2 linked regions of the Rhinolophus ferrumequinum genome follow. The protein of the gene in region 1 binds, or shares a complex with, the protein of each later gene. Links are inferred from orthologs where the notes say so. Each region holds a gene or a part of one and is shown in the gene's direction. Other genes may lie near its edges. The genes, in order: ITGB7 and ITGAE.

Region 1 (15,756 bases):
ATGCCAGTCTGACCACACCCAGGCCCTTTCGAAAGAGAGGAAATGAGGCAGCGCTCTGCGGGCAGGGAGGGTGTCAGCAGTCAGCACCACCCAGCACAGTGGCACATGTACCCTCAGAGGATACCAGGAAGGGTCCCGAAAGGCATTCCAACCGGCCCGTGTCTCAGCCCCAGCCCCTCCAGGAGTCTCCCGCCCTCAGTCAGAATTGATTGCAGGCACCCTACTTTCCTCCACTCCTCTTTCTCCTTTTTTCTTTGGGGACTCTCCCTCCAACAGGATTCTTATGTTAATTGAGTGTCTGCCTGTGTTTGGGGGGCGGGAGGGCTTCCCTCCTGTGGGGTGGGTGGAGCTAGCTGGGACAGGGTTCCTGGGCCTGCCTTCTGCCCTTCTGGGGCATGGGGCGACTTCTGACCAGGTGGGCTGCAGCGGTTAGAAATAAGAAGATGTTCCTGAGGTGGGTGAGTGGGACACTCCTTAGGGAGGGTCTGAGGGTTTTGCATGGCTCGGGCCCTCCAGCTTTGGGGAACAGGTCCTACAGGTTGAATCGTTTACAGATTTTTCCAGCCTCTGAAGATCAACCACACACCCAAAAAAACGTTTACTTAGCAGCTTGCTGAACAAAGGGTGTCCTCCTCACACACTCTGTGTGGCGTGGGCTGAGACCCCTTTGGAGCTGCAAGTGGGTATCTGTGGGGAAGCTTAGGAGTGAAGACAGGCCCAGAGAAGGTCCAGTAACAGCTCCCCTCCCCCAACAGCCCTGTTTACCCAGTGTCACCTGACTTCTCGGTTTGCTATACCCCCAACAGCATCTAGACCTGAGAATCTGAGCAAATACCTCAGCCTCCTCTTTCCCAACTTCTGTGCCTCACAGGCCACTCAGATCTAGTCAGAAGATTTGAGAGCCTTGGCTCCACTGTCAACGGGCAGTGTGGCGTTGGGCTGCTTACTTCCCTCTCTTGACCTCAGTTCCTTCAGATGTAAAATAAGGCTGTTACATAGCCTGCAACCTACTTTCTTGATACCTGTGTCCCATTTGCTCCACTGTCTCAATGGTTTCTGGGGAAAAGGACGTTGGCGGTTATTTGGTAGGCAGTATGAGAGGGAAAAGAGAGGATTATCTACCCTGTACTACTGGAGAGAAAATGAGGTCCTGTTCTACCTACTGGGTATCCCAACAGGTCATTTAGCCAGGTGCCAGCTACAGGTGGCCTGGAATTGCCTGTCACCCCCAGATCTATTGCCTCATGTGGAGGAGGATGGTAGGAGGCAGATTATCTGACAAGGATCAATCAACGTGAGCGGGTGTGATTAAAGAGTTCAGAGCCGTGGGCCATAACCCCTTCACCTACCTACATTATAACTGGGGAAACTGAGGCCCAGAGAAGTTAGCTTCCAGATGGAGAATTGAACAGTGTCATGTAAGCTTTGGGCTGGCGTTATTGTTGGGGAGATGGCCAGACTAGGAGGTGCAGTAATCGTGGTTGTTTGGGGGTTTCTGGAAATGTTTACTACGGGGCTGTCCATGGTTTTTGGGACTTTAAATCACTGTGGTGGTGATGGTGTTGTCATTACTGAGCAGGAGGAAGAAGTGGGAATGGGTGTGTGTGTATGATGAGGTTGCCTGGAGATCTGAAGGGTCCTTCTCCCCCAACTCTCATATCACACTGCTTGCCCCCCAGCGGTGGAGACACAGAGCACTAGCTCGGAGGAGATGGTGCCCAGCTCGCCCTCGCCCCCACCACCTCCTCGGGTCTACAAGCCGTGCTTCGTGTGCAATGACAAGTCCTCTGGCTACCACTATGGGGTCAGCTCTTGTGAAGGCTGCAAGGTGTGTATGTGGTGGGGTGGATGCGTTGGGCAACTGGAGTTACCTGGTGAGATCAGAGACCAGGGCTAAGACGCTGTGTGTGAGTGGGTATCCCTCTGAGGTGGGAGGGGCCTGCTTTGCACATAGGTGGTTAATAGATTGGGTCAGGCCTGGGCAACCTGCAAGGCCCGATGTTCCCAGCACCCTGCTTCACTGACACTCCACTCCCCCCATCCCCAACTCCAGGGCTTCTTCCGACGCAGCATCCAGAAGAACATGGTGTACACATGTCATCGGGACAAAAACTGTATCATCAACAAGGTGACCCGGAACCGCTGCCAGTACTGCCGGCTACAGAAGTGCTTTGAAGTGGGCATGTCCAAGGAAGGTAGGCCTCTAGCCCTGGCCTGGGCAGGAACACTCCTGTCCTAGCCTGTGGTTGCCACCCTCTTCCCATAGGCTACCCCTACTTCCCTGACCTCTGAGATCTAGCTTGCTTCCTCCCTGGCCAGTCCTATTTGATTAGCGCCATTCACCTAGGAAGCCCCCGCATTCTCCCATCTCAGGGCTTAATTAACCCTTCCTCTGAATGAGTGAATGGGGGTTACCATCTCACATTCCCATTTCTTGGAGAAGTGAGAGGAGGGCTTGCCAGTCCCTTCCCTCCCCTGTTCCCAGGCCTGAGCCTGTGGTGGATCTGGGGTGCCCCCGCCCTGCACCATTGTGCTGCCAAGGCTATAAGTGGATATCCTGCTGCCTGCATATCCTGCCCCCCCTCCCCCCCAGCTCCTGCAGGGTGACAGGAAGGGCAGGATGGAGCCGAATGGCCTGGGGAGGGAGAAGGGGCTGTAGGCCCTGGGTGGGGTTAGGGAGAGCCAGCTTGGACATGGAAGCTAATGTAGGAGATAGGGAAACTGAGGCACTGACTAAGGTCTCAGGGTGAATAGATGTTCATGATTAGGACTGAGCATTAAATTAGGGCAAGAGGAGATATCCAGAGGGAGTTTCTGAGGGTCCTGACTTGTTCCTTGCACCTCCACCCCAAGCTGTGCGGAATGACCGGAACAAGAAGAAGAAAGAGGTGAAAGAAGAAGGGTCGCTTGACAACTATGAGCTGAGCCCCCAGTTAGAAGAACTCATCACCAAGGTCAGCAAAGCCCATCAGGAGACCTTCCCTTCACTCTGCCAGCTGGGCAAATACACCACGGTGAGGAGTGGGCAGGGGACTGTTCACTTTGGGGAACGGGTCGGGGTTGTGTTGGAGCCCTTGGTCTGGTGCTGAGGATAAGGAGGGCATCAGAATGCCGAGGGGAGTGCTTTTGGGGTGTCGGCAGAAAGAAGACAGCTTGCAGGGCAGATCTTAGCTTACATGCTCACCTGCCCTCCCTGTAGAACTCCAGTGCAGACCACCGGGTGCAGCTGGATCTGGGGCTGTGGGACAAGTTCAGTGAGCTGGCCACCAAGTGCATCATCAAGATTGTGGAGTTTGCCAAGCGGCTGCCCGGCTTTACAGGGCTCAGCATCGCTGACCAGATCACTCTGCTCAAGGCTGCCTGTCTGGACATCCTGGTAAGTTAATAACCCTATGGTCTGTCTTCCGCCACAGCCTGACCCTCCTATGGGACCAAGGAATTGGTACACACAAAGATTTCATTCTCTCTCCTTCCCCCTCCAATCTGGGACTCCCCAGATCTCCTCTAAACTCAAGCCCTTTTTTCCTTAACCCCGGCCCCTAAAACCTGATCCTATCCTTCTGACACCCTGCCTCCTTCGGACTTCTCTTCCTTCCCCAAGCTTCAGACGCCCCTCCTCTCCGCCTTCCTCCCTGAGTGCTTCAGGTGGCCCTCCTTCTGGACCTAACCTCTTCACTTTTGTGTGCACCTCATTCCCTCTTTATCCTCACCCCCATATTTGCCCCTCTCTAGAGACAGCACTAACCCTACCCCCGCACCTCCAGATGCTGCGGATCTGCACGAGGTATACCCCAGAGCAGGACACCATGACCTTCTCCGACGGGCTGACCCTGAACCGGACACAGATGCACAACGCTGGCTTCGGGCCCCTCACAGACCTCGTCTTCGCCTTTGCTGGGCAGCTCCTGCCACTGGAGATGGATGACACAGAGACCGGGCTGCTCAGTGCCATCTGCCTCATCTGCGGAGGTGCGACGGCGCCCCCTGGTGTCTGCTTGCGTTCCTTTCCCACCACACCTCACACCTGATCTCTGACCAGGCTGGAGACCTGAGTCCGTCCCCTTGGGATTGTTCTGTCTGGCCTCATCCACAGACTTCTTAGATCCAACGCAGGCTCCCTGCAGCCTGGAACATAGGACTAAAAGGGGTAGAGCCAGGGGGAGCCGAGGAGACTCCAGATACTGGTGCTGAGATAGGTGTCTGGGCCGGAGTGATTTACCAGAACAAATCTCTTACTGAAGGGGAGAAGGTACCGGGCTTGGGCCAGGGGAGACGGCCTGAGTGGGGCTCAGGGCCAATAGGCAAGGGGCTGATGGGACAACGTTTGGGGTCTGGAGGCCCCTACAGCAGGGCCAGTTGGGGATCAGCCACTTGTCACTGGCTGCCCCACCTCTTCCTCTCTCACTCCACTGCGCTGTCTACATAGACCGCATGGACCTGGAGGAACCGGAAAAAGTGGACAAGCTACAAGAGCCACTGCTGGAAGCCCTGAGGCTATATGCGCGGCGGCGGCGGCCCAGCCAGCCCTACATGTTTCCTAGGATGCTCATGAAGATCACTGACCTCCGGGGCATCAGCACCAAGGGTGAGTCACGAGGGAGCCTCCCCGCCCTCCCCAGAGGTGCTGGGCAGGTAGCGACAGGAACTGAGTGGGTGAGGACCGGGCAGTCTGCGCTGGAATCTAGCTCTGTCACATGCTAGTGGGGAGACTTTGGGCAAATTCCTTTACTTTTTGTACCTTGTTCTGTTTGTAAACTGAACGATGCTCATACTTACCTCATACATTATTGTGAGGACTAAATGAGTTGACACACAATGGGCTTAGAACTGCCCTGAATTAAAATCTCAGTTCCTCAGTTTCAGTAGCTACATGTGGCTACGCCTACTACATTGGGTAGAGCAGATATTTCCATCGTCGCAGAAAATGCTACAGGACAGTGCTGGTTTAGAAGGCTGCCTGGTAGATAGTGTTTGATATATAGTAGGTGTTATTACTAGTGTTATGCAGATCAGGCTTAGGGACAACTGACAAGCTGTGGGCATCAGAGGGGGGTGTGGCTGGGGAATGGTGTGATCTTTGAGAAGATAGCCTGAAAGAATGAGACGAATTGCAGCAGCTTGGCAGAGCAGACAGGTAGAGGCTCTAGGCAGAGGAGTGGACCCCAGCAACCCTAAATTAGGGAGAGGGTGAGCTGGGGCAGAGAGGTGGCAGGCTTGGGCTGGGAGCCCCCAGAGGGGAGTAGCAGGGCAGTTGAGAGAGGTTAGGTAGGTGGCCTCAAGGGACATGTGCCTCTGTTGCCCTGAAACGCTACCCCTCTGTTGCAGGAGCAGAGAGGGCCATTACCCTGAAGATGGAGATTCCAGGCCCAATGCCTCCCCTGATCCGAGAGATGCTGGAGAATCCTGAAATGTTTGAGGACGACTCCTCGCAGACTGGTCCCCACCCTAAGGCCCCGAGCGAGGATGAGGTTCCTGGGGGTCAGAGTAAAGGAGGCCGAAGCCCCCAGCCTGACCAGGGCCCCTGACTTCCCCTGACGTGGGGTTGGGGTTCCAGGCGGCAGACTGACCATCGCCCAGACACCACCAGTGACTGGGGGAGGACCTGCTCTGCCCTCTCCCCACTCCTTCCAGCGAGCTCCTTGTTTTTGCCAAAGTTTCCAGGGGTGCCTCTGTGTTCATCCCCTTCCTGCTCTAACCGACTCCCTCTCCATTCTTGGGGGCCTGCCCTGCTCCCACTAGAGAGGGCAGAGGGGTGAGCCTGGGTTTAGACTCTAAAATCTCAGCACTGGCCCTCAGACATCAGGGTCTCAGGCTCCCCCAGGCAGGAGGAAGACCCTGCCATTCCACAGCCTCTTCCTCTGCCAGGTGCTTAGGCCTCTGGGAGCAAACAGGAACACTAGAGACCAAAAGGGGGGCATAGGGGGCGGGCTGAGCCCACCCTCTTGCCCTTGCCCTTGGTGCCTCATGCTGCGTAATGCACCTGCCGGGTGCACGCTGCCCTCTGTGCCCCATCCTTTTTCCAGACTGGGGGTGGGGGCAGACTGTGCCCTGCATTTCTGTGGGGGGCCAGAGGGTGAAAGGGACAGATGCAGGTCCATTCTGCACCTCTTTGATTGGGCCCAGAGTTTACCTTGTGCCCTCCGTTATAAGCCCCAGCCCTGTCATGTGCCTTGGGCTCCCTCTGCCCCCCATCTCAGCCACCGGGGCAGGGACCCTCCTACACTACAGAGGGGCCAGGGGACCCGGCTCCCCCTAGTGCCTTCCTCCCTGGCCCCCAGAGCAGCTTGGCCCAGGGAGAGGGGGGTGGGTGCTGCTTAGCTGATCCCGCCCTGACCCAGAGGAAGCCTCTATTTATTTATTAGCTTTTGTTTACACCCTGGAATTGACCCCTTCCTGTAGGGGTCTTGGGAGGGGGAGCCCAGGGCCCCTGTGACCCCTCCCTTCTTCCTTCAATCCCCAGTTTGTATTTAGTTGCCAAATAAGATTCCCACTGGCTCCCCTTTTTCTCTGGGGGGTCAGGGTGCTGTCCCTCCCCTCTGTTTACATCTCCCCTCCACCCCGCTGTATCGCATATTGCTGAGTTTTCTATTTTTGCAAAATAAAGTGATGGAAACTCATGGGATGTGGCTCCTTTGAGGAGGAGGAGACTGCATTGGGGGAAAGGAGCAGCTGACCTGGAGAGGGCCTGAGTGAGGAGGGGAGCTCCTAATCTACTGGATTTTGCAGCTTTCTCAGGGGAACCAAGGAAATAGGATGTAGTGTGTCTGGATGAGGGGTTGGTAGGGTGGGGGGAAAGGGAGCCCACAGGGCCCACCCTGAGTGTCTGGGCCTCCCACAGCTACTAGTGCATTCTTCTATCAACCCTATGGACTCCTGCGTCTGGCAAGGCAGGACTGGACCTCAGAGGTCTTTAAGCTGTCCTACCCCCCTCCCGCCCCCATTTTGCATATGCGAATCTCTAGGGAGAGGGTTCATTGAAGTTTCATTCGGTTCTCGTGGGGTCTCTGGCCCAGAAGAAAAGACCCACGGCCTGTATCTAAATTACAGTATTTCTGTTTTATAACAACACCTCACTCCATGAGCTCTCCCGCTCTCATCGATGTGTCACTCTGTTTCTTCTGAGCTTACTCTCTTCACTCCATGACTCCACTGTTCCTTTCTGTTCGAATCTCTCTCCTTGCCCCTACAAGTCCCACTGTGCTCTATACTCATCCTCCCCTTGCCCTCTGTGACACCCCTTCAATATCACACCCCGCCCCCTCCTCCCTCTGCTCCTCCCTCTGCGCTGGTCCACCTTCTTGCCCGGGACAGTGCCTAGCCTACCTTGTTCCTGGCTTTCTTCACCGATGACCTATGCAAATGGGAGAGAGAGGCTGAGGATGTGGGAGTAAGGGAGGAGACAAGAGTGGGGAAAAGCAGAAGAAGAAAGTGAAAGAAGCTCTGAAGGAAACCACAGGGACTCTGTGGCAGGAGGGGTCATTGCCATAGTAACCTCTGCTGGTGGGGGAAGGGTAAAAAGGCCCAGAGCCTGAGGCCAACTGAAGGCCACCCAGAGAAGGAACCCCTTCGCCCGGGTTGCTCCTCCCAGGAGCTACACTTCTGTAATCCATCTGCCGTTTGATGAGCACCTGCTATGAGATTTGCTAGGTGCTGTGGCTTCGGGCAGTCCTGCCTGCAAGGAGTGCTACTTCTGGGAGAGGAGACGGACCTATGAACACAGAGCTCAGGTCTAGTTCCTTCTCAGGGTTCCTTGTGGTCAGGTGTGGGCCAGGGGCGAATACTTTCCACAACTCCGGTCTCCCTACAGGTAGGTTTCATCCTTGCCCCAGCTCCAGCTGTCATCCTGTAGTCTCTGCTTCTCCCAGGTGGCCTCCTCCACCCCTTTCCCAGGCTCCACTACTGTCTTGGCTCCTTGGCCCCCAGTCTCATTCTTTGTGTCTCTAACTTCCCAGCTCTCTGGACCTTGAATTTCACAAAGCCTCTCCACTTTTCACCCCATTACGTCTCATCCACTGATTCTCTCATCAAGCCCTTAGTATGTTCCAGGTTCTCTTCTAAGCAATTGTATGAATTATCTCATGAATTATTTAATTGTATGAATTATTTAATTCTCACAACACTCCTATGAGTTCTACTTGACAGGTAAGAAAACAGCCACAAGAAGGGTAAGTAACTTACTGAAGGTCCCACTATTAGTAAGGGATAGAGCCAGGATTTCAACCTGGGCAGTTTGGCTCCCGAGCCTACGTAGTTAAGCACCTACTATGATACTGTGGGCACTGGATTTTCAAATGGACCATTAATGTCCCCCTTACAGTACTTACTGCCTCCATACTTCTTCCTATCTTGTTCCTATATGAGGAAGTGGAGAGATCATCAACTCGGGAGGCAGGCAGACCTGGATTTCAATCCCAGACTAGCCATCTACTAGCTATGTGACCTTAGGTAACATTTTTACTTCTTACCTCTAAGCCTCAACATCTGTGAAAAACTAGGGGGCTGGGCAGATACTAACACCTATGTCATGAGGTTCTTGTGAGGATTAATTTTAACATCATGATACACCCAGCACCTATTAGGTGCTCAATAGATGAGCTTCCTCGCTTTCTTTTTGTAGATCACTGTATCATCAACTCCCTTGGCCCAGTTCCACCCCTATCTGCTCCACTTTCTAGATCAGTTACCCCCACTACCCCAAAGTCTCCCCCACCCGGGGTGTGTCACTTCCTCCTCTGCAGCCTCCCAGATCAGTACACAAAGGCTGCCGCTGACGCTGGAGGAAAGGCTGCTCTACTGGCACCTGTGAGTACCAGGGCACCAGCCCTCCTGCCTCCCCTTACTCGTCCAGGCCCCAACTGGTCCCAACCACCGGGAAGAGGGTTCTGACGCCCAGGTTTCAGTTGAAACTTGGGAAAGGCTCTGAACTCCTTTTTGCATTCCTAAGGTCCCCTGTCTTGTTTCACAAGCTCTTCCTCCCCCAACCTCTCATGCATCAGTTTCCCAAGAATGGGGCTGGAGGGAGGAAAAGAAGGTGGGGGAATATATGAGTGCTATCATCTGAGTGCCTGCCATGTGCCAAGGATTATGTCAAGGTGGGGTTCTCCCAATATTACTCCCCAGATGCCATTCCTGCTGCCTAATGCCTTGTGCTCAGTGCAGACCTCCTTCCAGTTGGCAGCTTGGCCACAGATCCCACACTCCTGGGAGACTGTGGCCCAGGGGTCCGGTTCTGTTTCCTCCTTGTGATTCCAAGGGGGCAGCAGAGGATTCTGCTTGACTTGGGAAGGTCTGGATGGATTGGGAAGAAGCTCTGTTTCTCGGTTGCTGAGGGAACAAGTAGGGTGTGTATTGGAGTCAGAATTGAGTCCAGGCAAATGGGACAACCACGGAGGGAGAGAAGGGAAGATGAAGAAGTCCCCCAAGGAAAGAGAAAGGGGATTAGGTAGAGCCCATGCGAGCTAGTGGGGAGAGGGCACAACTTTTGATGATGATGGTGCCTGGGTTGGAGGGGAGGAAAGGAGCAAACCAACCACGGCGCCTGACCCGTCTCAGTCGCTGTTCTGCCTCTAACAGAAGAGAAAACCCGCAGAAGGATGTTCCTCAGTTTTTGATTAGGGAGGGGAGAGTGAGTCAGATTAAGAGAAGCAAGTGGCAGGTCACATGTCCCCAAAGAGGGCAGAACCAGGAAGAGAGTGGGGAATTGGGAGAAGGGGATTGGAGTGGGCTGTCCTGGAGTCCCAGAGCCCTCCTTAGGGGAGATGAGTGGGGCTTGAGTTCTCTGGGCTTGTCTTATCTGGGAAACCACTGTGGCACGGGGGCCCCACCTGTGAGAGATGAGTCAAAAGTGGGCTTTGAGGTGCAACATCCCCAGCATCCCTGACCACAGCGTGCAGAGCAAGCAGGGCTGAGGTTACACTGAGGCGGAGCCCTGGGCTGGTCTCTCAAGAGACGGTGGAGCATCCGTTACAGATGCATTCTATGCCTGAGGTCACACAGGTGGTGGGGAGCACGATGGGGGCTGTCAACGACTTGGTACCCCACCCCTTTCCCACACTCTGTGCAGAGCATCTGGATTTGAGTGTAGGCTGAGGAGGAGGCAGGTGCTTCAGGACCAGGAGTTCAGGGGCCTTTCTCATCCCCCACTGACAGGGATGAAGGCTGGCACAGTCGCAGAGGAGGTTATGTTGGCAATACCAGTCTTACAAATGACACCTATTTATGGACCCTACAAATCCTCTTCCAGGGATTTATCCTACAGCTTCACTTGCACACATGTGAAATGATAAGTATGTGAATTTTCACTGCAGCATTATTTATAATAGCGAACAATTAGAAACAATTTAAATCCCCATCATAAGAGACTAGCTACACTATGATAAATCCATGCAATGGAAAACTACATGGTTGTAAAAGTGAAGAAGGAAGTTCTTTATTTTCTTGGGTAGGAGGATCTCCAAGAAAAATAGTTCAAAGAAAAAAAGTAAGATGCTGAACTGTGTGTATTCTACTATTTGTACAGTTCTACTATTTGATTCTACCATTTGAAAAGCATATATATGGTCGTATTAGTTTGTATATACATAAAACAATCTCTAGAAAGACTATAGGCAACAAAAGATAATAAATGATGATTATTTATTTGGAATGGGTAGAAACTAGGGTTGACGGGGGATAGGAATGGAAGATTTCTCACTCTCTTATTTAACTTTTTTTTTAATGTATATATATATGTGTGTGTGTGTGTTTTATTTACTTATTTATTTATTTTTTGAATTTATTGGGGTGACAATTGTTAGTAAAATTACATAGATTTCAGGTGTACAATTCTGTACTACATCATCTATAAATCCCATTGTGTGTAACTTTTTTTATTCTAGTAAAATACACATAAAATTTATCATTTTAACCATTTTTAAGTGCACAGTTCAGTGGCATTAAATACATTCACAATGCCACGCAACCACAAACGCTATCTAGTTCCAGAACTTTTTCTTCCCCTCAAAAGGAAACTGCCCATTAAGCAGTCACTCCCCACCCTCCTTTCCTCCTCAACCCCTGGCGACCACTAGTCTAGTTTCTGTCTCTATGAATTTGTCCAGTCGGGCTATTTCATATAAATGGAATCATACAGTACGTAGTCTTTTATGACTGGTTTCGTTCATGCCGTATGTTTTCGAGGTTCACTGATGTGGTAGCATGTATCAGTACCTCATTCTTTTTCGTGGCCCAATCATATTTCATTGTATGGATATGCCTCCTTTTGTTTATCCATTCATCAGTTGATGGACAGTGGGTTGTTTCTACCTTTTAGCTATTGTGAGTAGCAGTGCTATGAACACTCATGTACAAGTTTTTCTTTAAACGCCTGATTTCAATTCTTTTAGGAATATACCTAGGAGGGAAATTGTCAGGTCATAGGGTAAGTCTATGCTTTAACTTACTGAACAATCACCAAACTGTTTTGCACAGTGGTTGTACCATTTAACGTTCCCACCAGCAACGATGGAAATTCCATTTTCTCCATATCTTCATCAACACTTATTTTCCTTTTTTGTAAATTATAGCCACCCTAGTAGGTATGAAGAGGTATCTCATTGTGGTTTTGATTTTCATTTCCCTGGTAACTAATGGTGTTGAGCATCTTTTTACGTGCTTGTTAGCCATTTAATTATCTTCATTAAAGAAATGTCTATGTAAGTCCTTTGCCCATTTTAAAATTGGGTTGTCTTTCTGTTGCTGATTTGTAAGTTCTTTCTATATTCTGGATACTAAGCAGATACATAATTTGCAAATATTTTCTCCCATTTGGTGGTCTGTCTTTTCACTCTCTTGATAGTGTCCTTTGAGGCACGAAAGTTTTAAATTTTGATGAAGTCCAATTTATCTATTTTTATTTTTATTGCTTGTGCTTTTGATGTCATAGCTAAGAATCCATTGTCAAGTCCAAAACTGTGAAGATTTATCCCTATATTTCCTTCTATCAGTTTATAGTTTAAGTACTTACACTAGATCTTTGATCCATTTTCAGTTAATTTTTGTGTATGTTGTGAAGTAGGAGTCCAACTTCATTCTTTTACATGTGGATAGCAAGTCATCCCAGCACCATTTGTTGAAGACTATTCTTTCCTTATTGAATGGTATGGCACATTTGTCAAATATCAATTGGCCATAAATGGATGGATTTATTCCTGCACTCTCAATTATATTCCACGGATCTATAAGCCTGTCCTTATGCCAGCACCACACTGTCTTGATGACTGTGGCCTTTGTAGTAACTTGTGAAATTAGGAAGTGTGAGTCTCCCTATTTCATTCTTTTTCAAGATTGTTTAGGCTAGTCATGCAATTCCATACAAATTTTAGGATCAGCTTTCCAGTTCTGTAAAAAAGGCCTTTGGGATTTCACTTTTTAATTTTTGAAATGTGGTAATGGATTGACTATTTAAAATTTTAATTAGTAAGTTTTTAAAAATCAGAAATTTGCCTAGTCTTCTCCAGAGGTCATAGGAATTGGAATGACCTGCCTTTTGGCTCTTTCTCTACTCCAGATTTCCTTTGCACAAAGTAGAGGAAGAGAAAAGATTTTACAACCTCTGGCCTTCCTGCCTCAGTTACCCCAGACTTTTAGAAAGTGCTTCTTATGGTTTAATCTTTGTTCCGTTTGCTACCATGTCAATCAAGTACAAGCTAAACTTCCCTGCCTCTTACACACTCCCTCATCTGCTCCAGCTTTCTTTCTTTTCATTCCTACTCTCTGACTTTCCCCCCTTATTTATGGCCTCTGATCCTCTTTCCTTACATAGAATCCAAGATTTTAAGAGCTACAAGAGCTGTCAGATTATTCAATGCCCTCACTTTACAGATGTGGAAACTAAGGCTCAAAGAGAAAGTCTGACTTACACACAGCCAATGAGTGACTGAGGCAGGACCAGAACCTGGTCTGTTTCCCATTTGGATCTATTTCTTCCATGACTTGGAATCTTGGTGAACAGACCTGTGTGTAGACCTCAGTGCCTCCAGGCCCAGTGCCCAGACTCTTGGGTAGGCCGTTTTGCCCACGCTGGACTCTTGAAATCTTCACACAGAAGGGATGGGTCTTCTCCAAGGCCCGTTCCATGACCTGGTACTTACCCCTTCCTGCCATTTTGAAGAAACTACTGAATCCACAGGGGAAGTGAAACTATGAGGAGAGATAAAGAATTGGGGTAGAGTTTTGAGAGTAACAACCACCGGCTAAGTTTAGAGGACTGAGAAGTTGGGTGGGGAGGTCCTCCCTGATGGCCCATGTGTTCCCCTTTATATCCTATTATAGACCATGGTGACTTTGTCAATGGTCCTTGTTTTCCTGCTGGTCCTGAGCAGAAGTGAGAGTGAGTTGGACACCAAGATCTCATCTCCAGGGGACGCTACAGAATGGGGGGATCCTGATCGGTCCCTGCCGGGGTCCTGCCAACCAGCCTCTTCCTGCCAGAAGTGCATCCTCTCACATCCAAGCTGTGCATGGTGCAAGCAACTGGTAAAAATGGCCTATGAGCCATGTGTAGGTGTATGTGCAGCCTGGATATATGTTTGTGATTGTATGGGCACATGTGTGATTTTTCAGGGTGTACTCTGCAGTCCTGTGAGTGACTAAGTTTGTGCACACAGGACTTCTGTGTGTGACTGTGTTTGCATGTGTGCATAAACATGCACGCAACGTCCCTGTGCATGTATGTTTATGTGTGTATCTGTGTGTTTGTGTATATATGGACAAGACTTGTGACTGAATTTGGAGGAAGTATGTTCTTGTTGGAACACATGCTTGTGTATAGGTAGAGGGATCTATTATGCATGTATACATATGAGAAAGTTTGTCAGTTCGGGCTGCCATAACAAAATACTATAGAGTGGGTGGCTTAAGCTATAGAAATTTATTAGTTCTGGAGACTAGGAAAGCAAAGGTCAGGGTGTCAGCAGATTCAGTTCCTGGTGAGAGCTCTTTTCCTGGCTTAGTAGATGGGCTGCAGATAAGCTCTCTGGTGTCTCTTCTCATTAGGACATTAATCTCCTCAGGAGGGTTCTACCTTTATGACCTCATCTAACCCTAATTTCTTCCCAGAGGCCCTATGTCCAAATACCATCATACTGAGGGTTAATCCATAGCAGAAAGTGTATGTTTGGGTTTCTGAGTCTGTGCTGAGGGGTGGCAGGGGTATGTAGCAGCCTGTGACTGAGAGGGTAGAAGGGAAGGCAGTGGAAGCCTGTGGGCTTTGGGTGAAAGGCTTGCGCTACCTTAGTGGCCCAAAAGGATGCTGGGGAGCCAGTGTCTTCCTGGCTAATCAATTAAGGCTGTTCTTTGTTTATGCCTTAAAGGAGACAGAGTTCATGGAGTGGCGAACATAAAGGTGGCCTAACTCTCTCACAGGAAGATGGAGAGTTAGATAAGGAATGAGGGCAAACTCACTAGGAGTCAGAGCTACAGAGGCTAAGCACGCCCTGGAGAAAGGCACGTAGTGAATCTGGGAGGGCTGGAAGGGAAGACTCAGTCTACAGGAGGCAGAGAGCAGAGGTGGCAGGTGGAGTCTGTTGGGACAGTCGGGTATATGTCTGCCTTCTCCAATCCCTAGACCATAGGCTGGCACCCTGGCCAGCTGAGACATCACTCTAACCATTTCCTTCCTCTGCGGTTTCCCAGCCAGTCCCAGGGGTACCAGACATATTGGGGGGAAGGGGTTTCTTTTTCTGTCCCTATCCTTTCCCTTCCCAGGAACTGTGGGTCTTAGCTTGATCCCCATTTCAGCCTGAGCATCAAGAGGTGGTTGGACGAGGCCAGCCTCCTTTTTTTTGCGGTAGTGAAGTCCCTGAGATTCTCAATAGGAAGTCTGTGGCGCTAGGGGGAGGGTAAAGGTAGGTGGCTGGGTAAAGGGGGGAAGTAGAGATAAGGGAGAATAGGGGTGCTATAGGAAGTGGCTCTGACAAGGAAGAAAGGGTCAGGGTTCAGGAGTAGCTGTGGAAGGGGAGGGGATAGAATCGAGGGGCTCAGGGAGCTGACTGAGGGGGAGAGGTTAGAAGTGGCTGGGATCGCAGACTGGGAGCAGGGCTGGGGGACTGTAGGGTCTAGGGTTCCGATGCGCCCCCTCTTGCGACATAGAACTTCACAGCGTCCGGGGAGGCGGAGGCGCGGCGCTGCGCCAGGCGAGAGGAGCTGCTGGCTCGGGGCTGCCCCCCGGAGGACCTGGAGGAGCCCCGTGGCTGGCAGGAGGTGCTGGAGGATGAGCCGCTTAGCCAGGGCGTCCGCGGCGAGGGGGCCACCCAGCTGGCGCCGCAGCGGGTGCGAGTCACGCTGCGGCCCGGTGAGTGAGGGGCGGAGGGGTCGCGGCAGAGGTCTGGGCGGGAACCGACACGCCCTGCTGACGCCCCACTGCCCCACCCCTGCCCCCAGGGGAGCCCCAGCAGCTCCGGGTCCGCTTCCTCCGTGCTGAGGGATACCCTGTGGACCTGTACTACCTTATGGACCTGAGCTACTCCATGAAAGACGACCTGGAGTTCGTGCGCCAGCTTGGGCACGCCCTGCTGGTGCGACTGCAGGAGGTCACCCATTCAGTGCGCATAGGTGAGTGGAGCGCCGCCCAGACACCTGCCAGTCCTCTGCCTCTAACTTCAACCACCGCCTTAGCCTCTGCCAGCACCAGGGCCCCCACGTGCCTCTCTCAGTTTTTAACAGGCCACTGGTTGCTGATCTCTCTCCCCAAAGACATCCATCTTCTTGGTCAGAGCT
Region 2 (15,539 bases), on another chromosome or scaffold:
GTTTTATTTTCAAGTATTTAATGTTTGCGTCCCTCTGCAGGCTTAAAAACTGTTTCGCTTCAGTTCACTAGAACTTAGGAGTTAGAGATAGTAAGGCTTTGTCCCTTCTGTGATGTCACAGCTCACTTGTCTGGAGTGTTTCAGCACCCAGTGCAGCCCTGGGTTCCAGAGATCTTTACCTAAGAATGGTCACGTGGCTAGCTGATTGCACTGTGGTGTCACTGCGTGTGGAACACTGATGATGATACAGTGAAGGGTGGTGAGACTCGAGAGCTGCAACAAAAACTCTGTTGTCCCTATTTTGTTGGTTGACCTGCTCTTTTCCCCTTTCCTGAGAAAAATTAGAGCATGTAACCATGATAAGTTTCAGCTTCCTAATACGATTCTAGGGAAGAGGTGGTTTGGGTTTCTCTGCCTGTTGAGCCCTAAGGTTTCGGAGGCTTCTCAGCTCCTCGTATTCTGGGAAGCACACAGCTGAGCGCCAGGTTCTTGAGGAGAGGCTAGGGTTTGAGGAGTTGGCCGAATGAGAGAACAGTATGAGGCCCTGAGAGTCAGAGACCTGGATGCCAGCCTCTGGCTCTGCTCCATGGGCCTGGGCCTCGGTTTCCCCATCTAGCATGTGAATGGGCTGAGAGCAGAGCTTCTGGCTTTGTTGGTGCTTGTCAGTGGTGTTTGACGCTTTCCCTCAGTGGTGGCTGCAGTGGGCTGGCCAGCACTGGTTTCTGTTGCAGGTGGGGGAAGGGTCAAGGAGACAACTGAGGGTGTGTGAGTTTGTGGGGACTCACCCCCACCCCATTCCAGTCTCCAGGGCGACAGAGACGTCTTTGTGGTCAGGGTCCCAACCGCTGTGGTCTCTGCAGTGTTCAGAAAGTGCCCCCTCTTGGGCTTTCCTTTGTGTTTCCCAGTCATGGTCCTTTAACAGCAGTAGTTCAGGCCCATCTGTCCCATGGCCTTTTTGCTCTGACCAGTCTCCTGCTGGAGATCAGGGAAGACTTTCTGGAAGGGTGGTGGTGTGTAGTCAAAATTGGGTCTTTGATCTAACCAAGAAAAAGGCCCACTTCAGCAGCCTGGCAATTCTCACAAACACGCAGAACCCAGAAAAGTATCTGTAAAGATTAAGTTAGTTTCTGAGTAATCTGCCTTAGCCTCTCTTGCTCTCCAGCCTGCACTCAGGCACTCAGATTCTGCAATATCTTACACGGGCCCTGAATGCCCAGGCCCTTCCTTTGGAGTCTGGCGGGGAGAATGAGCAGGGCAGTGCCCTGGCAGGCAGCTCTGGGCTTTTATCCCGCGCACTCTTCACGTATGTGGACAGAAGGGCTCCTGCGTTTCTGTATTGCTCGTAGTCTTTACATGTGCGAGATTTTAAATACGTTTTTGCTGCTCGATAATAGTTAGATACCTCATTTCTGTTTCCCACTCTACCTCTCGGGAGAGGTACCAGCTACAGGAGAACTTGTGGAGCCCCCACAAGGCATGAAGTCTCCTCACCTGGCCTCCTCTAGTCTGATCCCTCTAGTCCCTTCCCTTAGTTCAACCTCTGTCGTCTCCCGCTCCATCCCTGTCGCAGCCTCTTTCCCGCCCCTGCCCCGTCTCGCCCTCTGTTCTGCACACTGCAGCCGGCGTGAGCTCGTGTTGTTAGCGGCTTTATTGAGATACAATTTTTATAGTATACAATTCACCCATTTAAAGTGTACACTTCAGGGGCCTTTCGTATGTTCACACAGAAGTACAACCATCACTTTACTCAATTTTAAAGCATTTTCATCACGGAAAAGAAACCGTCTGCCCAGTAGCAGTCACTCCCCATTCCCTGTTCTCCCCAATACCCGCTAACTATTTCTGTCTCTGAATTGGCCCGTTCTGAGCAATTCATACGAATGGAATCATCGCTTTGTGGCTGTTTGTGACTGGCTTCTTCTCACTAAGCATATTTTCAAGGTTCATCCATGTTGTAACTTGTGTTAGTATTTCATTTCTTTCTATTGCTGAAGAATAGGCCACTGTGTGGCTGTACCCGTTTTATTTATCCATTCACCTGATAATGGCGTTTGGGTTGTTTCTCCTTTTAGGCTGTTACAAATAATGCTGCTGTGAACATTCCTGTACAGATTTTTACATGGACATATGTTGTCTTTACTCTTGGGTTGCACACCTAGGAGTGGAATTGCTGGGTCAGACTGTAACTCGATCTTTGTAACCTTTTGAAGAACTGCCAGACTGCTTTCCGAGGGGCTGTTTCGTTGTTCATTTCCCCCAGCAGTGTATGGGAGTTCCGGTTTCTCCATATCCGTGTCAGCGCGTGTTGTTTTCTGATGTGAACTGGTTTCTCGTGGTTTTGATGTGCATATTCCTGAGGACTAACGATACGGGGCCTCTTTTCATGTGCTTCAGGATGAACTTTTGTAGGAATGTCATTCCCGTTATTTCTCTGCTTAAAACCTTTCTTTACCATTGCCCTTGGAGTAAATTCCAAACTCCTTTCGTAGCTCCTAAGGCTGGTTAGGATCTGGCCTCTGGCCGTATTTCTGGCCTGTGTGCCTCATGCTCCCCTGGCCCCTGCTGACGAGTTCCCTGGACCCACGTTGATCTCACCAACCTTTCACACCTGCTCAGTGCTGTTCCCGCAGCGACAGCGACAGCGACAGCCTCGCCTGGTCCTGGCCCCCTCCTGCCACCCAGCGTCCAGAGCCAGGTTACGGGCCCCTGTGTGTGTCCCACAGCACTGCCACGTAGGAGTCTCAGCTCATTCCAGGGTTAGGTTAGAAAGTTATGCCTCCGATAAAAATTGAGTAATCGCAATTCCTCTAGGAAACCCTGAGGAAAGTGCCATGTTGGAGACCATCGTCACGAGGTCCATGTGAGCACAGCTGGTGCCTGCCCTGTGGGAACAGATCACGGTTTCTTTGGTTGAGCACCAGGTAAAGTGTTGGTCTGCAATATAGGGCCATGTGGTGTAAAACACACTTATTTGTAGGTGTCAGAATCACACTCAGGCGAGAAGCTCGCGTTGAAAGAGGCTCTTGGGAACTGAGCCGGCCACAGGAGCCGCAGAGCACGAGCTCGCCTCTGGCCTCCCTGCTCAGGGAGTGGAGGAGCAGGGGGAATGGCCCAAAGGACCGAAAACGGTTTTTTGTTTTCCTGTCTCTTTTTTTCCATTGTGTTTGCTTCAGTGAAGTGTGTGTAAAATACCAAATGTCTGTACACCTTTACACTGGATTGTATTCCCTGTTCCTGCTTTGTCTTTTTGCTAGACTGTAAGCTCTGTGAGAGCAGGGACCACGTCTGGCTTGTTGCTGGGGTTTCCCCGGTCCTAGTACCACGTCTGGCACCTGGTGGGTCCCCCATAGACGTGTGAGAATGTGTGTGTCACCAGCTGCAGGAGCAGCTCCATCTTCTGAGGCCCTGGGGTCCTCTCGCAGGCTAGTCCTTGCTTGTCTGCTGTGTACACACAGCGCTTGGTTTTCCCATTTTGTTTTCCCTGCTAGCCTGTGAGCTCCTGGTGAGCAGGTGTCTTCATGGTATTTCTCTATCCTCCCACCACGCCAGTACAGAGTAAGTGGTGCTTAAGAAGTGTTCGGTGAATGAATGAATTGTGGTAACCCAACCCTGCTGTGGCCCTTTTGTCTACAGGCTACAGTTTACTTCTAGCTGAGACCAGCAGATCCAAAAGGAGGAAGATGAATCAGAAGTGCACACACTGTACTTGTATAAGAAAAAAAAAAATCTCATTAATACGATCTCAATAAAATTCAAATTTTGGTGGTCTGGCCATGTCTGAGCTGAAGCTCACCCAGCTCTATACAGAATTTGCTAGGGAATAACGTAGATCAGAATAGTTTTTTAGAAGGTGTTCATTCCCCCCAAGAGCAGGGAAGGAAGCTGGCAGGTGGATGAGAGGCCCCCAAGAGGGACCAGCTGCGCCCGTTCAGCCTCTGATCCTATTGGTGAAGAAAGTGACGGCAGTCCAGAGAAGGCCCGAGGACATGGAGCTTTTTGCCTAAAGCAGCTCTCACAGGAAGCATTCTTAATGTTAGGCGGAAATGCCAGCAGGCAGTTTGGATTCGAGTTAACACCAAATCATGGCTTCACAGCTTAATTGCTGCACAAGTGAGTTTGATGTGTAGTTATTTGCTTTTAAATCTTGTGTAACAAGAAGGAAATTAGAAGTTACGCCACTTTTTTCTTTTAAGAACTAAAAGGACAGTGTGTTTTTGTAATCTTGAGAGTAGCACATTTGCTTCAAGGCTGATTGTTATTGTGTGATCTGACCACCAACTACCAGGACTTTCTCTTACATGTTTATATAATAAATCTTAGAAAAAAATACTGGAGCATTTTTTTTAAATGAAATTCATGAACATTTCACAGAACTCTGATGTTCCTTGGAGCAATTAAGGAAATGCTGGCTCAAAAACCTATCTCAAATAGTTACAAGGCATGGAAGTGGGACTTTGCTGTGCTATAAATAAAACTAGAGTATGGGTAGTATTTAACCTACCAAAATCAATGCCCTGCCTTGGGGTTCTTATTTGTTTTTGTTTAAGCAATTCTAGAGACCCTCTGGATGGCCATATTCTTTAGTGGTTAAGACTTGTGTTACCTCAGACTGCCACCGTCTCCCCTGGGGGTTACTGAGGGCAAAAGGCCCACACGATTGGCAAGAGATGGGACATGGCCTTCCTGTTCCTTCCTGGGGTTGTGTGGTTTTATACTGCGATGCGTCCCCTCTTGTCATTGATAAGGGTTCCTCAGGGAGCCTGTGAGCAGGAGGCAGTGCTTTTAGGTCGAGTGTCTTTCACGGAGGATCACATAGAATGGGGGCTGCGGCTGGGAATTCACTCTGTCTCATGTACAAACCGGAAACGACTGAGCGAGTCCCTTCACCTGTCTGGACCTCAGTTTCCCTGTCAAATGAAGGGCTTGACTGAGATGATCTCCAGTGTCCTTTTAGTGTCAATGTGAGTTCTAGGATCTTCGCTGTACTTTGCCAAGGAGCATGAGGACTGGAAGCTGGACAGGAAACAGGGTAGGGGCAAGCCTGAGGTCTACGCCCTCGGACCCTGGGTTCCATGACCCAATGCAAACTCCCCTCCTCCAGCCCCTCAGTTATGAAAGGACACAAGGAGCCTCTCCTTTGCTCCTTCCCCACGAAGGCCCCCTTTCCCAACACACACACACACACACCTGACTGTTTGGGAGCTTTCTTAGGAGGTAGCCCAGTGTATGAGTCCGCTTGGGCTACCATTGACTGGGTGCCTTCAACAACACGTTTATTTCCTCACAGCCTAGAGACCAGAAGTCCAAGTTCAAAAGTCCATACTAGGGTTCTGGTGAGGCCTGTTCCTGCCTTGCAGGTGGCCATCTTCTCCCTGCTCACGTGGCCTTTCCTTGGTGCGTGTACATGGAGAGCGGGATCTCTTCCTCTTCTGAGACCACCAAGCCTCTAGGATTAGGCCCGACCTTGAGACCTTAATTATCCCTAAAGGCCCTATCTCCGTATATAGTCAAATTGGGGGTTATGGCATCAACAGATTAAGTCGGGGAGGGGACACAGGTCAGTCCACAGCACCCAGTAATACAAGGATCCCAGTATATGTTTGTGGAATGAGGTCCCTGCTTTTTAATAGCTCATGGGAGGGATTTAGACCATGGATCTAAAGGCACTGGGGTTTGTAGTGGTTCAGAGTCCTGGTTCTGGAGGAGACCGACCAGTTTTGAGTCCCGTCTGCCACTTACTAGCCATATGGCTTTGGGCAAATTACTTAACCACTGTCTCCGAGCCAGCCTCCTCATCTGTGGAATGGGGATGACCCAGCAGGGTGGCCCTGAGGGTCAGCTGAGGGCTTGCATGGAAGGCCCTTGGCACAGAGGCCGGCACGCCAGCCTGAGCGCTCACAACGGAAGGGATTACTACGTGCTGCTCTTCAGTCTTAGCTGCTCTTTGCCAGCTCTCCTCCACTGCAGTCCTCGCGCTAGGCTCCTGTGTCGGTAACGTTCTGACTTCCAAATTCCCTCTTTCCAGCTTCCTAGGACTCAGAAGGCAAGTGGGTAATTAGAAACGTTTTCTGGTGTGGGAGCTATGAGGCAGGGCTGTGGGGACACCCCCACTCCTGGTGAGCACAGGTAGCAGTGCTTTTGGCTCACTCTCAACTCTCCGAGGAGTTAGTCCTTTTACTTCATGCTCAACACGGCTCTTCCATTCTGTAACTTTTAAAACTTTATTTTGAAACTGCAGAACCTTTCAACTGTAGAATAAAGAACACTTTGCCACATTTTATTTATTCTTTCCCTCGTCCTCTCCCCTCTCCTTTACCTCTCTCTGAACCGTGAACTATTTGAGTTACTTGCATAGGTTATGTCCCTTACCCCCTAAATTTTTAGTGTACGTTTCCTAAGAACAAGGACATTCTCTCATATGACCGTAGTATAGTAATCAAATTCAGGAAACATATAATTTTACCTAATCAGTAGTATCTAATCTATAATTCATGTTTCAGTTTTGCCAACTGTCGCAATAATGTTTTTCCCCCCCAAATTACAGTGTATTATATCTTATGACTTTACTTTTTCCCCCTGTTTTTAATGAAAATAAATTCCAGCTAGATTTCATGCCCTCCATGTAACTCTCCACAATCAAACCATTCACCTCTTATCTTTCTGGCCATAACCAGAGACTTGAATTTCTGGTTACCATTCTCAGGAACAGTACTCTGTTTTACTGAACCAATAATGTTTTTTAAAACAATTATTTTTCTGCTCTAGGATCCAATCCAGGATCACACACTACATGTAGTCTCCTTTAATCTGGAACAGCTCCTTAGCCTTTCTTTGTCTTTGATGATATTAATGTTTTTTAAAGACTTCAGTCCACTTATGTTGTAGAATATCCCTTCAGTTGGTCCCTAAACATTTGTTTAAAGTCCGAACTTTGGAAGTCGTTTTCAAATTCCTTTTGGATACGTGCGCACTTGCTGAACGTCCAGGCTTGTCCATAGCGTACCTGGCCCTTGGGACCGTAAGTTTGGGTTTGTGGGTTCAGCAGTTCCTGTCAGACAGGCTCGAAGGGCCCCTGTGTGTGCTCAGGACTGTGGGTCTGCCGTACTGGCACCAACAAGCTTGGATAAATACATCCCAGGTGGATGAGTCCTCATCTCCAAAGATGCAGAAAGTGGCCCTGTGCCTGGTGCAGCAGCCAGGCGTCCGCGTTGCCTGGCCTCCTGAGGTGTCCCGAAGTTCGCCCTCCAAACGCCAAGCTCTGCTTCTCACACCTCCCGGGAGCTGCAGTCCCGGGTTCTAGCCTGTCCTGCTGATCTGCTCTGTGGCTTGGGGCTCCTTGCTTGCCCCTCTAGCCCAGTGGTGGGGAGAGGAGCCGCTTGTCACTCTGCCAAGTGCCCCTGACACTGACCATGCGTGGGGAGGGGGAGTCCCTGAGCTGGCGGTGGTGGGTGGTGTTGGCGGGCCAGGGCTGGCCTATGACGCCGTCAGCTGACCTGGGATCGTCTTCATTGTGATCTGGGATGCAAATCGTCAGACCTGGAGCTTAGCTTTCTCAGCTGTTTAATTTCTCTCTTGGATATACAGTGTGGAAAATGGTGAATTGCTATCTATTCGAACAACTCCGTAACATCGGGGAACGCTCTTACTAGTTGTAGGTATTTTGTCAGACCAAAGCGGACAATGCAGAAATGTTTTAAGTGTCATCGATCTTTACAAAACTTCGGGCAAGCAAGCTTTTAATGTGAGAAACAAAATAAACGTGGTTTTCATCTAGTCGTTAAGTCAACACCATTGTCTGCTGTATTTTAACACATTAACACTTCAAAGTTGCTCTCCCTGGACTCACAGTCTTCCGGTGAGAGAGATGTAGAGTCCCCTGCTTTTTTGAATGTAAAATAATTAAAGTTAAATAAAATTCAAAATTCAGCTCCTTGGTTGCACTGGTGACATGTCTAGAGCTCCATTGCCACCTGTGTGGCTCCTGACCACCGTGTAGGTCTGGAACGTGAGGGCAGAACTCTGGGGAACAGCCCGGCTCTGTGCGTCAACAGTGGAACGGGTGTGAGAGCAGCTTCCTTCTATGACAGGCGACAGACTTGGTCACACAGGGACGTTAAAATATGACTGCAGACTGTTGGCAGTTTGCATCAGAGGCATGCTGAAATATTTATGGAATTCCACTTCTTCTGTTGTTCTGGTAGCTCAGAGCTCTATTAAATTAGTTCTGGATCACGGTGCTGCAGCCAGGGTTTAGAGAGAATGCGGCCAAAGCTGAATTGAGGAAGTGATTTCAGTGAGCTCGTTGGATCTTTCCACTCACCTGGCCCTCCACAGCCTCAGGGCCTTGAGTGCAGGACCAGGTGCAGGAGCCCAGTTTCTGGCTGTGGGGACATTTCCTGTAGGAAGAGGGACCCATTCTCACTGCTGAGGCGACTGGGTGCTGGGCTGAGGTGTGTGGTGATGGGCCTTGGGGCAGGGGGCTGGGACTCCCATGGACGGTGCACAACGGCGGGGTAACTCCTGCTCCCGCGCCTCAGACCTCTGCGCTCAGGACACCCAGGGCGGTGCTCCCCGGCTGCACCGCTCACCGATCCAAGTGTGGGTGACCGGCAGGGCTGCCGGTGTCTGAGCTCCCAGGACCCAGCCCCCAGCGAGCGGCTGAGGAAGCCACGCAGCCAGCTGTGTAGAGTGGGAGCGTCTGTATCACTTGAAAGTGCCTGTCTGCGGGTCCTTGCCTGTATGTGCCTCTGTCCCCGCCTCCTGGCTGCCCCAGCTGAGGAGGGGAAGCTGAGCAGGCAAGGCAGCCTCTGCCCCAGCTAAGATGTGGCTCTTCCACACTCTGCTCTACGTGACCAGTAAGTTGGCCTCACCCCCTTCCCTGAGGGGCTGCCATGCCCTCAGCACAGCCTTGTCTGTCTGTCTGTCTGGGTCAGAACCAGAGATCAGGAAAGGTGTGGGACTGTCTCCAGGGAGAGCCTCTCCCTGCGTGGGTCAGATCCAGGCTTCCTCAGAAGGGCGCCTGAGGCTGTGTGACAGCGCTGATGGCCTGTGGCGTCAGACTCCACAGCTCTGCCACCCTGTTCCTTCTCCAGCCAGCCTCCCCTCCCCAGCCTGGGCCCTCTCCCCACGGCACCCACTCTGGGCAGGTCCTCAGGTCTCTGCAGAGTTTGTTCTCAGAGTGGAGGTTGACAATGACCCCCCTCCCTCCTGCAGAGCACCCTTCTACAGACCAGGGGTTCAGCTGATAAGGGTGGGGACCCTCTGCGAATGTGAGCGTTGCCGAGACCACAGAGGTGTGTGTCTGTAGTAGAGGGTGAATGCATACTGCTTCCTGTTCCAGTATGAGAATCTGTGTATGTGTGTGTCTGTGGGGGTCCTGTTCTGGTCTTTAAACCTCCCTTGGAAGCCACTTGGGGCCAGCCAAGCCCTGAGCCCGTACCTGCCTCCGGAACCCCACCTTTGGTCAGCCAGCCCCTGGGCACCGCTCAGATCACCCCGAGGCCAGGGTGGTCCTGCCCGGTGATCTGGGCACGCTTCCTGGGGTCTCCTGCTCTGGTCAGAAGCGTGACGGAAGAATGGGCTGGACGTCCCGTAGAAGTAGTGTCAGAGCTCCTGGGAGACAGTTCTCCCTGAAGGATGGGCCAGGGCCTGTCAGTGAGCACCAGTGTCTGAGTGCTGAGTCCAGGATGGAAGGGGCCTCGGGATTAGCATCCATCATGAGGCCCGCTCACCAAGAGACAGGCCGAACGTGCAGGGTACCAGCGAAGCATGTATTGTGGGACACATTTTAGTAGATGATATTTCAAAAACAGCAAAACAATCATCGTGGAAATGTCAGAACTTTATTGTACTTTCTTTTCCTGATTTTACAGTGTAGACTTACCTTTGTTTTCAGTTACGTATCAGGTATGGAGAGGGCCTCAAGTGTTTTGTGTTGTACGGCTTTGATTGCCCAACACCAAGAATGCCTGGAGAAGATGCTTAGACTCTGGTCCACGTCTTCCCAGTACAGAGGAGGTGACTGAGGTCCACAGAGGGTGCAGTGACTAGGCAGGGTTACAAGCATTAGTAGAAATGGGGCTCCAGCCTAGGTCTCTGTCCTGCCTTCCGGCTCTAGAATACCCCATGGCCTGGAACACTCACCCTGGTGTCACTTGGCGCCTACTTGTCTGTTTCCTGTGGCCTCTGGAATGACAGCCATCACCCCCAGCACCTTTTTCAGAAATGTCAATCCAGGTGATATTTATCAACCCCCTTTCTGAGGCCTCGGCACTCTGAGCTGATGGACAGTAGAGAGCAAGATGGAGCAGGCTTGCCATGCGATCACTTAGCTCACACCTTGGCTAAGTTATGGGAGGTGAGTGGGAGCAGGGCCCCGGCAGCTCCAGTCTGGGTGAGAGAAAGGAAATTGGGAGTTTTGTTCCAAGGTCCGAGGTCCTGAGACAGGGATGATGGACCAATCCTAAAGAGCTTCTTGGAGGAGGTGAGACTAGCGCTGAGTCCTGAGGACAGGGGAAAGTGAGAAAGTGACAAGAAGGTGCTGGGGAGAGTGAGAGGAACCCCCTTAGACTGACCATGTCATGCGCCTGGCTGGGCTTCCCTAGGTTAGGGAGAATCCAGAACGGCTCTGGCCTGACTGACCTTCCGCCCTTTCCCGGCCACCCAGTGTGGTCATGTCGTCTTGTCATCCATGGGAGCAGATGAGATAACATCAATTGAGGGCAATTTAGAGTTGGGCGCAGACACACAGACACGCTGAGAGCCTGCAGCTGCCCATACCCCCCCCCCCCCCCCGTCCCTTCTCACTCTGCTACCCAATGGCCTGCTGTGCCTGGGTCAGTCGTCACCCTTGACTCACTCTGTGACCACAACCACTCACTTCTCCTCTTGGGGTCAGAGGTTGAGTCTACAGCCTACAAATTATGAAGGGAACTCTGCTATCAGCCTACAAAACCTTACAGTGGTGAAGGAGCCGGAGCCAGACGTCCAGGGCCTGCTCTGCTGTCATTCAGCCTTCAGGTTAAAGCCTGTGGTCTTGCTGGGCCCTGCTGGGGGCTGGGAGGCGAGCGGGAAAGGCATCAGACCCGCCTCTGCCTGGGACACAGCTCCAGACCTATGTGCAAGTGTGTGATAAAAAATCTTGGTCATTGTGGCAAGGGGACGTGTCTGAGGTGGCCCTGAGATTGGGGAAGTTTTTAGCAAGTACAGATTGGTGGGGGATGGGAGCTTTCTGTGCAGGAGAAAGATACGGTGTGTGGGGAATCTGTTTAGGGAAGTACAGGGTGAAGTTTGAGTGGGAGCGGAAGGCTGTCTCCTCTAATGTTGCCTGTCCCCCCCATACCTGGGACATGCTGGGCCCTGGGGTGAGGGCAGCACCTTCCCTGCACTGGGGCCCCTGTGTGGAAAGAAAGCAGGTCGCACACACACAAGGACCCCTCTAGCCCCAGAAGGAGGGCCCAGTGCAGGATGCTTCCGTCTCACACACGGGGGAGTGGGAAAGGGCGTTTTAGTGAGAGGTGAATGTCACTGAAATGCAGTGTTTGTGGGCAAGCCGAGTGGGGAGTGCCGCCAGCGTCTCCGACCTTCTCTGGGAGGTTGGTTGGAGGGTGTGGTACGGGGGGCATGTGAGCAGTCAGGCTGAGGGAGCTTGGACCTCTCCCTGAGCTGTGGCATGGGAAGCCACAGCAGGTGTCGAATGGGGTAGTGACAGGGAGCCTTGTGTGTTGTGTGGAAGGTGGAGTCCTGGAGAAAGGAGGCAGAGAAGCCAATGAGGAAGCTGCTGCCATGGTTCAGGCCAGGGGTGTTGGGGCAGCTGAGCGCGGGCAGGAGGAGGCACTCGTGAGAGACACTTAGGAGGAAAATCAGAAAACCCAGCAGCGCTTATCCCTGTGCCTGGCACATGGGCAGCGCTCAAGACCTCTTAGCCATGGTTAGGCAGACCCTGGAGGGTGAGGCAGGGCCAGGGGCTCGGGTGGCTGAGGTTTGGGGCTGACACGCTGAGGCTCCCGTGGGAAAGACCGAGGTGGGTGGGCTGAGGGGTGAGCTGTTCCACGGGTCGGGCGCTCTGTGGGCGCCCTTGAGCTGTGACCGCCCCCAGGCCTTGTTGGGTGCTCTGCATGCCCAGGGAGGCATGCTGGGAAGAGGGAATGGGTGGAGGGCGGGAGGGCGGGCGTCAGGACACCTGAGCCTCATCCTGGGTCTGCAGCTCGCTCCTTGTATAAATTTGGGCAATGCATGTCCCCTGGGCCTCAGTTTGCTAAAGCGGAAATATGCTGTGAGAAGGTATTTAAAATACCAAGTGTGGTGGGGGAGATAGGGAGAGGAGGGGCCGGCAGTGGTGGCTGACAGGATGGAGGGAGGGTCTTAGTCTGACTCAGCAGGCCCACATGGTGGGGGACAGCTTGGGGGAGACAGCCGTGTGGGTAGTGTGGTGACAGACACTGGTTTATCCGGGCTGTGATGTCTGACAGCCTGTGAGGGGGGTTTGGGATGGATGGCAAGGGTGTCAGAACGTGAGAAGCCCTCCCTTGTGGTTATAACTTAACTTGGCACCCACACACTGAGCCGCTAGCGTGTCAGACGCTGGGTGGGGCATGGCCGCCTTTGATCTGCACAGCCCCACATCGCAGATGGGGACACTTAGGTGATATGGCAAGCTTAAGGTCCTTCAGTGATTCTGTGGCAAAATGATTTGAACTCAGGACTGCCTCTGGGGCCCATGCTATTTTCTGAGTCTCAGTGGGAAGTGAGAAAGGAAGGGGTTAGCCGATCTAGGGACAGCCCGAGCAAAGGTTAATGTCGGGCCTGGAGGGATTCTGCTCCAGCAAGGTGACCCACCCCTGGCAGACCCCCGGCTCGGAGGGGTTGGCGGCTGTGACGGGAAGCTCAGCGAGTATGGTGACTCCCACCTCACAGGTTCTCATGCCACGCTACTTCCACAGGAGGTTCGCTAACCTACTTAGCAGCCCTCTACACCAGAGCTCTGCCCCGGCTCAGTGAGCTGCTAGCACAACTGGCAGCTGTGACCCTGCTCTCTGTTAACCAACCCCTCAAGCTTTTAATCAGGCTTTGGAATCAGACAGACCTGGGCCCCAGACACAAATCCCTTTACCTCTCTGAGCCTCGGCACCCAGCGTGGTGCCTGGAAGACAGCAAGTGCTCGGAAGGGTCTGGATTGGAAGGGTCAGGGTCGCTGTGAGTGTCTCTCTGCTCCTCTCCTCCCCTTTCCCACCCTTCAGGGATCTTGCACCGAGATCCCTCAGTTGAATAAAATGGAAATGGGGTGAGGATGGGGGTGTGGGGGGGGAACAGGATTCTGGCCCATTCTGACATTTCCAGGACACCTCTTCTGGACCTGGCCGTGTATTGAGCTGGGCTTTGCAGTGGTGGGGGCTGGGGTTGTCATGGATGACTCAGAGCAGATAACAGTTTGGGGGAAACAAATTTAATCACAGATCACTCTGACCCAGAGAGGATATAGTCAGAGCCAGACAGAGACACCACAAGAGGCTGAGGGGGTGCAGGGACCAGTGAGTTACTCTGGTGGGGAATCGGGATTGGCTCCTAGGGCAGCGAGTGCCTGAGCAGGGCCCCCAAGGATAGGGCAGAGGCAGGACAGTTGGTGAGGAAGGCATGCTGGGTAGAGGGAATGGCCTGTCCAAAGGCCCCGAGGTAGGACCTGTGCAGATGGTGTATAGGAGTGGGGTGGAGAGGAGCTGGACGTAGCTGGAGAGCAGACTTGGCAGAGCGGGTATTGGGCTGGGCAGGGAGGTGCCATGAATACCCAGTTGAGGAGACCTGACTTATGTCAGGAGTTTTAAATCATGTCTAAGTTACACAGACAGTAAGAAGGGCAAAAGAAGGCCTTCCAATCACCCCTTGTCAGAAGCTGGTAATTCTCACTTCTTAGTTCTCTTTGTCAGGATGCTGATATCCACTCTTACCCAGCCTGGCTGATCAAGAAACACAAGGCTTGGCAAGCAATGGGCCGAGGAACCTGAGTCCAAACTCCCTGCAGGCATCCTTTGTCTAAACTCTGTGTTCATAGAGAACAGTGCTCCCCCTTCTCCGCCTGGGGTCTTGAACTGGAGCCCTTGAGGGGCCCTGGGTCGGCCGCAGGGGATCTGTGAGCCCCCTTCACCCATCCAGTACCTAACCAGTGTAGGCCACCATACCAGGCCCTGCGATGACACACAGTCTTGGCTCTTAGGGACTGGTGGTGAGGGGACAGTCACAGGCAATACGTAAACAAGGATGTGAGCAAGGTAATTTCAGTCTGTGAGAGAAAAGGTTTGTGGGGGTACAGAGTGGCCAAGCGGGGGTCGAGGTCAGGAAGACCTCTGGGAGGAGGTACACAGTTAGGTTAGGATGAGGAGGAAGGCAGGAGAGAGTCTCAAGGCGCAGCGCTCAGGCAAGGCCAAGGTTTGTGCAAATGTGCACTTGGCGGGGCTTGGGAAGGGTTCTGACGCTTCCATAAGATCCCCAAAGGGTGTATGGCTCCCAGACAGGGAAGAGCTCATGGGCTGCTTAATTTTCTGCATTCTACTTTGGGGCAATCGTGTGGAGGACACAAATAACAACTCCGGGAAATTTGGGGTGCAGGTTTATTCATTCAGGGTTTTGTTTTGTTTTTTTTAACCCGTCTTGTCCCTATTCATTTAGTGTTTTTCCTGAGAGAACCCTCAGGGAAATTTTTTCTGGTTTTCTGTTTTTTTTTTTCAGCTTCACCAGAGTAGTTTTTGGGTTTCCCCTCCAATTTTGTGAATCCTGTGAATGATTCACAAAATGATATAACTGATCATTTTCATCCTTGTGTTGGTTTCAAGAAAGTTCACTTATTTATGCATTTATTCAACAAATAATTTTATTAAGCGCCTACTGTGTCAGTGCTGTGTTCAGAGACAAAAGAGGGGCCCGTCATAGAAAGTGCTGGCACTTGTTGATGTACAGGTTAGTTCCTAAGCTCCTTCCTGGTTTCACTGTACCGCTTTGTTTTTACACCCCTCTTGCAAATGACTATTTTCCTTTTGTCCTTTGTATTCCACCTGCCCCATTATTTTAAAGCAAGTTTTATCTTAGTGTATTGTGTATTTTTATGAGTCATCACACATCATTCTGGGCGAGGCAGAGGTAGAAAGGGAAAGGAATAAAGTACAGATCCCCACTGTGTGCCAGCTCAGGGAGAGGGACCGGGAGTGAGAGACGAAGGAAGGGAGGTCTCCCTCAGAGCCCTCTCACATTGCACCTCTTCCTGGAGCCTTTGGAAGGTTGGGTTTTAATGACAACATTTTAAGCATGTACAATACCAAAGAAAATAACAACGAACCCAAAAACCCCATCACCCAGATAACAGTTGTCAAGATTTTACCACACTGCTATGTTTATTTCACTCTCTTTTGGTTTCCTTTGCCAAAACATTTTAAAGCTTTGCTGCTCAAAATTTGGTCTGGGGACCAGCCGTGGGGCATCACTTAGGAGCTTGTGAGACTAGCATCTCAGCCCCATTCCCTGACCTACCCTGTCAGAAGCTTCATTTTAAC

Evidence for each region.
Region 2: the proteins of ITGB7 (region 1) and ITGAE are in contact, whole or in part, in a cryo-EM structure (PDB 8ZJF), measured with the Homo sapiens proteins. The link is inferred for Rhinolophus ferrumequinum from reciprocal best matches to the Homo sapiens genes ITGB7 and ITGAE. Residues at the interface, in NP_000880.1 of Homo sapiens: Val201, Leu202, Pro203, Ser206, Thr207, Val208, Pro209, Ser210, Lys211, Arg213, His214, Cys216, Pro217, Arg219, Leu220, Glu221, Arg222, Leu255, Asp256, Ser257, Pro258, Thr291, Phe292, His293, Thr294, Ala295, Gly296, Asp297, Lys299, Leu300; in NP_002199.3 of Homo sapiens: Phe36, Leu38, Arg91, His92, Arg93, Gly94, Leu111, Arg113, Leu118, Ser119, Ser120, Leu122, Glu196, Glu198, Arg230, Tyr233, Glu234, Phe237, Glu238, Cys239, Asn240, Ser259, Gln260, Val262, Met263, Leu266, Arg300, Leu401, Gln403, Phe406.

What each region holds. Positions count from the first base shown.
Region 1 is NC_046293.1:53,120,491-53,136,246, reverse strand, and holds the start of ITGB7 (integrin beta-7), read left to right. Parts: upstream 1-7,482; 5' UTR 7,483-7,727; exon of another isoform or gene 7,728-7,807; intron 7,808-8,427; exon of another isoform or gene 8,428-8,445; intron 8,446-8,696; exon of another isoform or gene 8,697-8,802; intron 8,803-13,311; 5' UTR 13,312-13,314; coding exon 13,315-13,515; intron 13,516-15,129; coding exon 15,130-15,331; intron 15,332-15,420; coding exon 15,421-15,591; intron 15,592-15,756. Other genes in the region: RARG (retinoic acid receptor gamma), read left to right, coding at 1,680-1,828, 2,054-2,195, 2,854-3,014, 3,200-3,376, 3,765-3,969, 4,427-4,585, 5,326-5,525. UniProt on the Homo sapiens protein: Integrin ITGA4/ITGB7 (alpha-4/beta-7) (Peyer patches-specific homing receptor LPAM-1) is an adhesion molecule that mediates lymphocyte migration and homing to gut-associated lymphoid tissue (GALT).
Region 2 is NC_046304.1:14,722,243-14,737,781, forward strand, and holds the start of ITGAE (integrin alpha-E), read left to right. Parts: upstream 1-8,374; 5' UTR 8,375-8,821; coding exon 8,822-8,855; intron 8,856-15,539. UniProt on the Homo sapiens protein: Integrin alpha-E/beta-7 is a receptor for E-cadherin. It mediates adhesion of intra-epithelial T-lymphocytes to epithelial cell monolayers.